Neurospora crassa OR74A: one gene and its partner. The protein of the gene in region 2 purifies or fractionates together with the protein of the main gene of each other region. This does not show direct contact. Links are inferred from orthologs where the notes say so. Each region holds a gene or a part of one and is shown on either strand. Other genes may lie near its edges.

Region 1 (4,929 bases), on a different chromosome or scaffold from region 2:
TTCTTGCCGTAGTCGTTGAGGATAAGATCGCGGAGCTGCGTTTCAACCTTGATCCAGTCTTCATCGGAGAGCGAGGGCCAGATGTGATGATCCTGCGTGATGACGGTCTTGTCGGGGCGCAAGATGAGCTTCGTCTTATCCTGGTTAACGTGCAGGGCACGCAGGATGAGAATGAGACGGGAGAAGGCAGTGTAGGAAGAGATGCTCTTCAGCCACTCGTCGTAGAGATTGAACAAGACCATCTGCGGCTCGGTGGCACGCAAGATCATGTCACCCAGTTTTTCGACCTTCATGGCGGCCTGGAAGGGAAGCTGCAACTCGGACGCGCGGATGGAGATGTTGGGGAAATCAAGCAAATTGACTTCCAAAGGATCCAACAGACCCTTTCTGGTGACGATCAGTTGCTTTGGCTGCTCTTCGACGGGTAGCGATCTGATAAGGGCTGCGACTTCTTCGGCAGTCTTCCACTTGGCCAACTGTCCCAAACGCTTCTGACCCGCCCAAACGCTGGTGTGGATAATCTTCAAGAACAACTGACCGGTACGCGGGTTGAAGATGAAGATGGCACCGTTGATCGGCTTGGTCGTCAAGTTACCTTCGAAGGTCTTGTGGATGGTAACACGGTAGACGTTAGTATCATCGATAAAGAGCTGAGTCTGGTTGCTGAACAGCTCCGAGTAGTTCTGCGAATTCAGGAACTCCTGGTTGCTCTCGGAGGCGTAGAGCTGCAGACCCTTGCGGATACGCTCACGAAGAACGTAGAGCGCAGGGTTTGCCTTCATGATCTTGCCCATAGCCTGCTGGATCAAGAGCTTCAAGCCTGGGAAGTATTGACCGTAGGCAGAGTACAAGTTGTAAGCCAGATCGATGCCAATCATGAGACCGGTAGGAGATGGGTAAAGACTCATGCTGTCGGTGGTGTAGTCCAGATACTTGGCCCTGACGTATCTCTCAATATCGTGAGAGTCGTAGTCACCATAGCGAAGCTGAACATCAATCCAAAACTTGTTCGTCGTAGTAGACTCGATGACATCCTTGGTATCGAAAAGGAGCGATGGGCGAGTAACGTTCCATTTGTGGCTGGCAAAGAGCTGGATATCCGCGCAGGAGCTGTTCATCTTGTAAGATTTTCTGGGATGAATGGTTTCCTTTTGAACCGATTCGATGCTTAGAGCCTCAAGCTCCTGATCGAAGACCTGGCAAAGATCCATGACCACTGACTCGTGGATCTTCTGCCACAGATGAGCTCGGAAGATCTGGATCAGGGAGATCTTGAGAGTAGGAATCTTGCCGTGCAAGAAGATACCAGTTAGATCCAACTGCACTTGGAAACCGACGTAGACATTGGCTCTGTTGATGGTAGGCGACCACCAAAGCGTGAAACGACGATTAGGAATCTGGTTGAGACCTGCGTATTTCAAAGTCAGTATTTGTGCGTGCATATGATGATGAATTCATGCTAGAGAAATGGTATGTTGAACTTACCGCTCCTCTGGGCATTTGTCAACTTCTTGAACTTCATCGACTCCTCGAAACCACTGGCCTTCTCCCAGAAGAGACCTTCCCAAGACGGGAAACCAGTTGCCTTGAACAAGGTATGCTCCAAGATGGTTTCGACACCACCAAGCGCCTGGATGACATCGGTACGGTATGCGTTAAGGTTCCAAAGTTTACCGTCATGCCTCTGGCTTGTCCACCAGAAGGGATTGCTCTTCATCAACTGATAGATCTTGAACTCGGAACGGGCACGGAAACCCTTGTCGAAGCTTAACGTGCTACGGTCCTTTTGAAAAAGAGTGTTTATACGGGGCAGACCGCGATCCCAGCTGTCCTCCAGATCCTCTAGGGTCAATCTGCGGTTCTGCTGGTTGGCCTCGAGACGCTTCTGCGAGTATTCCGTCCACACACGCTGGGAGTCGATAAACTCAGCTTCCCACGGGATGATGTAGCGGAAGATGTTGGGGATCAGCGTTTCCTCATCGTGCGACATGCCCGCACGGTAATGAGTAACTCCGAGATCTGTCTGTTTAGACCAGCGCTTGTCGCTAGTAGGGATAAGGATGTGTGATCCGGAAATCATACCCAAGCCACCAAGCTCCTTGGGAGTGTAGAAAACGGCAGGAGGGAAACGGGAAGGCATCTTGGAGTTGAGACCAATTTTGACACGAGTCTGGATTTTGGTTTCACACTTGACAATCGTGTCAAGCAGGTTCACGGTCGAAACAGCAGCCTCGCGGTAGTAAGTAAAGAGGGCAATCAGCGCCGTGTTCCACTTGTTAGCAATCTTGGTGAATGTGGTCGAGCCAGACGACATGAGAATCTGACGGATCCTGTTATTGAATTTCTGAATGTCCTCTTCGGTAACTTGTAGGAAAGCGTGAGCGGTGCGTTCCTTGGTCGTGTTGTCCACTAGTGACCAGACACTGTCTTTCACAGGGAACTCATCGTTCTGGTTGCGGATCTTGGGCAAGATGCGCACTTCGAAGCCGCACATGGAGAACAGGAGGTTCGGGTTATCCCTGCTGTACACGCTGGCGAAGGTGTCTTCCCATTCAATCGTCGTCACGGATCTTGGGAGGCGGTTCTTGAGATCCCAGAACACAGCTCTGCCGAGGTTGACGTCGTGCCTCATGAGACGCATACGCGAATCTCTGGGCCAGCACTTCTTGCTCTTGTAACCAATCACGTTCTCGAAGTTGGGATCAGGCTGCTCTGTCAAGAATCGCTGGATCAGGTCGCGAGATTCATCCGCGGTGAACCTCAAGAACACCCAGATCTTGTCGATGTACCTGGTGTACAACCTAATCGGGTGTCTTGTTTCAGTCTCCCGGTCCTTGAACTGAAGGAAGTCATTGGGTGCGTGGGGAGGACCGGCAATCTCGCTGGCACGCTGCGGGCCAAGCAACAGCAAATCGAGAATGAGACCATAGTACTGGAAAACGAAGGCTGAGAACTGCAGGCCACGAATCATACCATAGCTGTTGACATGGTTCATGTCCTTGTAAGTTAGGGTAACGTTATTCTTGGCCGTGATGTAGTCCGCAAGGTTGTGGTCCATTATCAACCGAAGAAGCGAGTTGAGCAAGGTCAGCTCAATCTTCTCGTAGACCTTGGAGAGCTGCGTCTCGATCATGACATTGCACTCGCCATTCGCGGTCTCCCAAACCCTGTCGAGGTTGTTAATGCCTTGAGCCCACTTGTACACAAGCAAAGGTGGCACCTCCGAATCGGAAGGCTTAATCCAAGCGGGGAACAGATGGCGCTGGTCAGCTTGATACCACAAGTACTGGTCGAGATAAGCATCGCTAATCTTCTCGATCGGTTCAATATCATAGACCGGGTTGATGGTGCTGTAGTTGTCGTTCATATCGATGCCGACTTCCTTGAAAGCTCTTTGAGTGAGTAGGAAGCGTTTGATACGCTCGAGGGTAGTGCCTGGACTGTCATATGCCTGCTCAATCAAGGCCAACTCCTCACGCTGACTCTGGTTCAATCTTCCCTTGGTCGAGTAAGCCTCACGTAGGCGCTCCAGCGCCAAGATAAGGATCTTGGTGTCATGCTTGTAAGACACACTGGGGAAGGGGATGGGAGAGAATTTTCTCGATTCAAGCCAGTGCACCGTAGTAGTGTAAATGGCAACAGCCTCCTCAGAAGAGACGTAGGGACCATCCTTCATGTGGTTGTGCTGGCGTTCTTGCTCGGCCTTGAGCCACAGACGCGTTAGGCGGCCAACGTTCTTCTTAGCAACGGTCTTATCGACGGTGGCACCCCGACGAATACGCTCCCGGTTGTAATGAGCAACCGAAATCCACCAATCGGCCTTGGACTTGACGTAACGCAGAATGATGTTCTCAATAGCTGCGGGAAGTCCAGGAACCTTCCAAGGAATGTTACTCTTCCAGCATCTCCAGGCCTCAGAAAGATGTTGAAGAACCGTGTTGACCTTGCTCTGCTTGATACCTTCCGGCATCATGTCCAGCAGATCAGCCATGACGGAAGCACGAAGCTCGAGATCGAAGTGAGATTCAACACGCTGCTTGGTAACGGTCTTGGCAACTCCCTTGCTGTGGCGACCTTCGAACTGACGGGAAAGGAGGTTGCCAAGCCATCTTTCAAGAAGGGGAATGATACCGCGCATGAAGAAGAGCCACACACGCCATGCCGGCGCCCAGAAACCGCAGCCTGGACCCTTGCCAACCGGGCCGGCGTTGAAGCGATAGTAGATGAGATGCTTGAGATCCTTGCAGGAACGGATCTGGTGCATCAACTTGTACTTGTAACGATACATACCGGTCAACTGTCCGACATGGTTGAAGGCATACAGAATACCATCGGCAAGCTGGAAGGCGTCAATGTTGCCAAGACGGTACTGTACCTGGGCATCGACAATGAGCTTGGTCAAGCGCAGAATTTCACGCATAAGATGGAAGGCATTTCCGAATCTAGACTTCTTTCGCTCCTTGGTTGTCAGCGTCTTGACGGGCTTCAGGTTGAAGTTGTAGTCCAAATGGAGATATGTGAGGTTCTTGCGGTGGATAAGCAGGTTGAGCATGTTAAAGCCCTGTCGGCAGACTTGCAAGCCGGCTTCAACCCAATCGATCGTTGTCTGCTGGAAGAACTTTGTTTGTTTCAAAGTCCGCAGCAAGTTTTGCTTCTGAAGAGATTTTGGATGCTTCTTGTGCAGCTCATTGAGGACGTAGTTCTTGAGAAGCTTCTGGTACGAGACGCGCACCTTAACGGGCTGCTTCGGCGGGCAGTGCTCCAAGTACCAATGCTTTACGAGAGGTACATCCTGGGCACGAACCGTACGTCCAGAGCGGCGGTCGAAGGGGAACGGCGCCCACCAAAGCTCGATGGCCGATGCCGTCTCATCCGTATACAGCGATTCCTCGGCCATGAAAGACTCGACACCAGCGGGCAGCTCAAACG
Region 2 (6,116 bases):
GGTTTATTCCTCAGCAGACGCAGGTCACCACCACCCATCATCTCGGACCACTTCTTCACCCCATCATCATCATCATCATCGCTCGCGCAGCCTTTTCTTACGCCGCTTGATTTTTGCTTGTTTTTTGGCTGGGATGGTGGTGGCTAGTGTTTTGCTGGTGGTGGTGGTTACGATGAGACCTCCTCCGCCTGCGTCAAGTGAGGGGACTCAGGAAGAGTGAAGAGTGAAGAGGATGACGACGACCGATTGGCAAAACGAAGCTCATGAGGGTAGACGGGCGGACGGGATAGAGGATAGAATAGAGGATAGAGAGGGGATAGATATAGGCAAGGCGTTGGAGGGATGGATGGCAAAATTTTTTTCATATTTTGGCTTAGCTTTGGGGGAAATTTACTGCGAGCGTCTTTGTTTTGTTTTGTTTTGTTTTGTTTTGGTCTGGTTTTGTGTAGGGTAGAGAGAGGGAGAGGGAGGGATGCATTCCCAGAAGAGGGAGGGAAGAAAAAGACACAGAGCAGAGAGAGAGATAGGAGAGATTGAATGAACAGCTCGGTACAGACTGATTGCCAGTGAAGACAAGCTTCGTCGCTCCCCGGTAAGCTTTTTGCAGTGTATATGATATGACTCGCATTTGGCGTTCACCTTGGCTCCCGCTTACCAAGCCCCTGGGTTGTGAGAATCTCGTAGGAGAAGAATTCACTGATATTGAGAGGGAGGTTGGTCATCGTACTATACATATTCACACGGTGCATCGAGAGACGTCCTCCAAGTACATAATAATGTTCAATGCTTCTTATTTTGAGCTGCTCGACGTCAGTGGCCATTCCACAGACAGTTGCCAGACATACCATGCCATGCCAGAGTTTAACCAACACTCAATTATTCACAACCTGACCACACTCTTCCAACACATCATTCAGCGGAACCCATTGGCCTTCGGCCCGTTGAGCGTCAAAGCATCCAGCTCTTCCCTCGTCCTCCTGTATAACTCCTGCGCCTCTCTCTCCCTCGTGCTCACAAAGCCCACCTCCTCACGCAGCGCCGCCAGCCGGTTCCGAATAGCGGCCTGCTCCGAGGACTGGAGGACCTTGAAAGCGCCCAGAGCGTTGTTCGCCTTCTCCAACGCCTCGTGAGCCTCACTGATCTTCTTCCGCAGCATTTCAGCCCGATTCTTGTAACCGCCAAGATGCAGGTTGAGCTTCTTCTCGAGCTTGTTGCCCTTCTCTGCCGAGGCGACGATTTGGTCAATGACCTCCTGCAGGTTAGGTTAGCCAGTAAGCCTTCGGAAGGCAGGAGGCAGAAAAGGGGTTAGTTGTACATACCTCAAGCGCAATTTGCATAGTGGAAATCTGCTCTTCTTCTTCATCGTCCTCATAGCATCCCAGCCCAAGCAAAAGGGAGCTGCTGTTGCTCTTTTCCCACACCGCTTGAACTTCTTCCGGCTTTGGTTTATCCTTGATTTCCATCAGAACCTGAAGCTTGGCCTCTTGCAACGCGGCGTCGTCGATTTTCTGGATCTCCAGTGCCCGGCCAGTTGGCTGAGCTCCCGGTAGAGGATACTTGGTGGCATCATGAGCTACGAGCAAGGCCGCTTCACGAGCGATGAGAACCTTGACAGGGTCCTCGGCCTGCGAGGCTTCCTTCAAGAGTGACTGATAATCGACTTGGACAGGCCGAGGCAGATCCCGCTGCATGACCTGGGTACGTCTCTTGCGCTCCAACAGCTCTCGCGCCTCCCTGATCTCCCTTTCTCGTCGATCACGTTCAGCAGCATCCTCCTCCAGCTGCTCAGCGGTCTTGGGCTCTTGCTGATCGTCCGGCAGCTCGAGCTCCCACTCGGTCTCTTTGGGCTTGGGAAGAGACGCGAGGCCTTGCTTGAGCTGGTGCCGAATAGACATCTCGCGCATCTTAACATCTCGGGGTGTGCCGCCCACCATGGACATTTCGTCACCGGCATCATTGAGAGCAAATGTATCACGGGGAGTGCGCAGTGGTGTTTGGCCGACGCGGAGGGGCGTGGCGCCAGGACCAGCTCCAGCTGCCCGCAAAGGGGTGGCTAAGGGGTTAGGGGTTGACATGACCTGCTTCCGCGGCGCAACCGACTCGAAGCCGGTAGAGCCCACCCCCTGGTGTAGAGGTGTGTTCTCTCCACCGAGCAGCGAGGATTGCGTCTCTGTTAGTGCTCGGATGTTGCGGATCTCGTTTGCGATGTGGTCTTCCTGAGCGGGGGCCATCGGTGTTCGGATTGGCGCATTGGTGTTGAGTGTCGAGTAGTTGTTGATCAGGCCACGAGTTGCGTCGTTGTCGCTTTCGCGAGCCAGCATATTTGCCCGTTCGCCAATCATGCCCATCTTCACAATTTCCTCCAACTCGCCTTCGCCGACCTGAGGTGCTGGCAGGACCAAAGCCCTCCGCTTGCTGCTCTGTTCTGCCTCGCGCATCTTCTGCAGTTGACCGGCCTTGAGGGCGGCTTGCACAGATGGGTCCTTGTCGCCCTTTCTCCTCTTGCCGTCTCTCTCGTCCTCTTCACCCTTGCGCTTGTTCCCAACCTGCTGCTTCTTGGGGTCGAAATGGGCGCGCTGGTACTCGTTGCGAGACATCTCCTCGGTGGTGTCATAGAATCCGGGAACAGGCTTCTTTTCGAATGGAATATCGGCATTGTAGTCCATCTGGCCCTGCTTCTTTGTCGTAACCTTGATGTTGATACCGGCTGTCTTCAACTCGCGACGCTTCTGGAGAGCGGCCAGTCGGCGTGACTCCTCCTGCTGTCGCTCACGGGCCTTTCGCTTGGCCTTTTTACCCTGTGTGTTGGCCAGACGCGCGCGAGCCTCGCTCAACATTTCTTTCTCATCTTCATCGAGATCGATGGTGTCGGGACGGGCGGGTTTCGTCTCCGGATCGGGGTCGACCTCGCCAGGACGTAGTTTGCGAACATCGTCGGCGCTGGGCGCGTGAGCTTCGCCTCCATCAGGGCCCGTCAGCCCAAGAGCGGACGCCTCCCTCTGCTCAGCTTCGTCGAGAAGTCTTTGGTATCTTTCCAGGCACTGGTTTGCGGTTCTTCCAACGATGGGGGCAATGGTACGCCATTGGGTCGGCATCAGCTTGGCGAGGTGCAGCAGCTTCTCATCCTCCTCCTTGCTCCATTCGATCTTCTTGATGCTGGGATCCAGCCATTCGTTCCATCTTGCCTTGCACTGCTTGGGCGTCTTGCGGGCCAGCAGCGACGAGACGCGGGCCCACTGGTTCAGGCCGTACTTGCTGACCGACGCCTTGAGGATTTCATCCTCGATGTTGGTCCACACACCTCCCTTGACGACGGGCATCTTGTCGCTCGGCCGTTATGGATACTCGTCGGGCGTTGTAGTGATGCGGGAGTCGTTCCGGTAGGTGGGAGGACACTCGGGGTTGGGGTTGTCTTGGAATTGGAATTGAAAGTGTTGAAATGTTGTTGTGTTGATGGGGAAGAAATCCAGAAATTCAAAGCGCTGGCGTCAAGGCGAACAATGGAATCACCCGCGACGCAACTGCCTTGGCGTCTTTCCCAGTATCAACTGTCAAGCGCTAGCCAACCTCAAGACCTTTTTGCGGCAGGCAACAGGTTCCCGCGCTGTTAGCATTTTTGTGTCCCATGCATGTGGTAACTAACAAGCGAGCCAAGCTCCGGGACCCCTGCCTGCCGTTAACCACTAACAGAAGGATGCCCCGCCCTTTTGTCGCGACACGCTGCTGCTGTTGGTCGAGTGGATGAAGCTTCCATCCACCATTTCTGGTTCACATGTCTTTCTTTCCTCTTACATTTCTCAACTCTTTACAGAAATCCCCAGAAAGAACATCAAATCGCTCCGAAACTGGACTCTTTAACCCAATTGCGCTCTCCAAAAGTACGCGTCTTCTCCGAGTACCAAAGCATTTACCCGTAGGATCACCATCGGGCAATTCTCAGATTATTCTTAGCATCCATAAGCTGTCGTCGATCAGAAGAGCTCCCGTCGGTACCTACTTTGGACTTGGAGTGCTCGCCGTTCGAGTCCAAACACAAGTCGACTTCAGGACAAGGACAGCTTGCGAAAGCAAAACTAATCACTTAGTTAAATATTTGTCAACGTTACTGCTAGCACGACGTCTGCCGAGCTACATATGGCCAGCGACGTAGGCTCTCCCCGAAGGGAGCAAACACCTTCCGGAGCTGCCACGACGATCCCTCAGAAGCGCACGCTCGAAGACGACCACAGTCCAGCAGTTCCATCACCCCTAAACCCAGATAACAAGGCCGCTCCAAGAGTCCAAATACAGGCACCCGAAGACACCCAGCAAGCAGCCGTTCTAAACCGCGAAAAGAGAACAAAGAAGGACTCCTTCAAGAAGAGGGAGGCCAAGGCAGCAGCAGGCGGTTCCGATAGTTCTAGAGCAACTCCAGACCCGAAGCAGCAACACAAAGAGCCCTTGATCAACGAATTGCTCCCCGCGCGCTATAAGCTCGCTCCGCCCAAACTTACTGATTTCGAGCCCGCGCGCGGTCCCGTCTTCACCAGCCATCATGAGGTTCAAGGGCCCGAGGGCGAGACCATCGAATTCTTTGATGCAACCGAACAGTATGTCTTATCTATATTTGCTCCTTCGCCATTCTCCATTCATGCGGAGCATATTCTGATTTGCCTTTTTCCTACAGTGTCTTCAACAAGCGAGCGTTCCATTACACTCACTGTATAGCCGACCCAACGTTTCCTTCCATGTTCTACTATCGCCAGACCGAGACCGAGCCGTACGCTGCCCACATGGCCTTCGAGGACTCTGCCTCCCACGTATACTTTGACCGACAGGGTCGTCATGTCACCACCGACAAGGGCTTCCGTATGTCACGAGCCAACGTGGCCGTGCGAGAGGGCAGGTGGTATTGGGAGTGCAAGGTCACTCGAGGCACCCTGCGCGAGCCAGGTTCCGAAGGTGATACCAAGGCGCATGGGCACGTTCGCGTGGGCTGGGCGCGGCGTGAGGCTTCTCTCGACGCCCCCGTCGGGTTCGATTGCTACAGTTATGGTATTCGAGACGTGGCTGGACAAAAGGTGCACATGTCACGGCCGAAAGACTTCTTCCCGCCTGGCGAGGAGATCAAAGAAGGAGATGTGATCGGGCTGGAGATCCAGCTGCCTTCGGAACATTTACACAGGAAGATTGTAACGGGGCATTATAACCCTGCGGTCGACTTGGCAGACGACGAACCATCGCTCGAGGCACCCAACATCATCCGGGACCGGATCCCCATTCGGTTCAAACAACACATTTACTTTGAGAAGATTGACTACCACACAACCAAGGAGCTGGAAGACTTGTTCAGTCCCGCGCCGGTAGCATCGGCAAGCTCAAACTCGCCGGAACCGCCGAACCCAAATCACCCATTGCCGTCGCTACGGACGCTGCCGAACTCGTACATCAAGATTTACAAAAATGGAAAGGACATGGGCACGCCTTGGACTGACCTCTTCGCCTTCCTACCACCCGCATCAAAACAAAGTACTCAGTCAGGGGCACATGCCGGCAGAGAAGCTCTCGACGACGGAACTGTCGGATACTACCCAGCCGTAAGTGTTTTCCGCGGTGGCGCCGTCGAGGTGAACTTTGGCCCAGACTTCTGGTTCCCACCACCTGGGTCTGGTCTTCCCCAGAAGCAGCAGAACGGGGTAGGCGATGAGGACGACGTGGACATGCTTGACGACGGAAGTGTGCCGAATCAAGAACCCCTGCGGCCGGTGTCGGGTCGCTACGAGGAGCAAATAGTCGAAGATATCGTCTACGACATTATCGATGAAGTTGGCTTCTGGGCCCAGGACGGTGGCAAGGTGATTGACCGTTTCAACCTCACGGCGAAGGACGCCGAGAAGTTGCTGGCGACGGGTGGGGGCGGAGCGCAATTGTTGCCTGGTGGGCGGGACGAAATCAAGGAGCTTGTCCAGGACGATTAGGTATCCCGGGACAGACTCATGTGGGACGGACTTCGATGGCGGTGTTCACGTGCTGTCAAGTAGACGAGACGTACCTGGAGTCAGTCACTCATGGATATGGAGGCGAGAGAGGTTTGCAGTTCCGGTTGGAAATGCTTTCAGTTGGGTTGGGGACAGAAG

The links. Proteins that work in one complex are often made in the same cells at the same time.
Region 1: the proteins of NCU06994 (region 2) and NCU07832 purify together in Schizosaccharomyces pombe (affinity purification with mass spectrometry; 3 studies listed by BioGRID, with this or other methods). This does not show direct contact. The link is inferred for Neurospora crassa OR74A from reciprocal best matches to the Schizosaccharomyces pombe genes cdc5 and spp42.

The regions. Positions count from the first base shown.
Region 1 is NC_026503.1:1,008,811-1,013,739, reverse strand, and holds part of NCU07832 (pre-mRNA processing splicing factor 8), read right to left. Parts: coding exon 1,486-4,929; intron 1,409-1,485; coding exon 1-1,408.
Region 2 is NC_026504.1:4,814,213-4,820,328, reverse strand, and holds NCU06994 (pre-mRNA-splicing factor cef-1), read right to left. Parts: upstream 3,484-6,116; 5' UTR 3,321-3,483; coding exon 1,320-3,320; intron 1,253-1,319; coding exon 914-1,252; 3' UTR 662-913; downstream 1-661. Other genes in the region: NCU06995 (hypothetical protein), read left to right, coding at 1-1, 148-201; NCU06993 (Ash2-trithorax family protein), read left to right, coding at 4,135-4,589, 4,667-5,957. UniProt on the Schizosaccharomyces pombe protein: Involved in mRNA splicing and cell cycle control.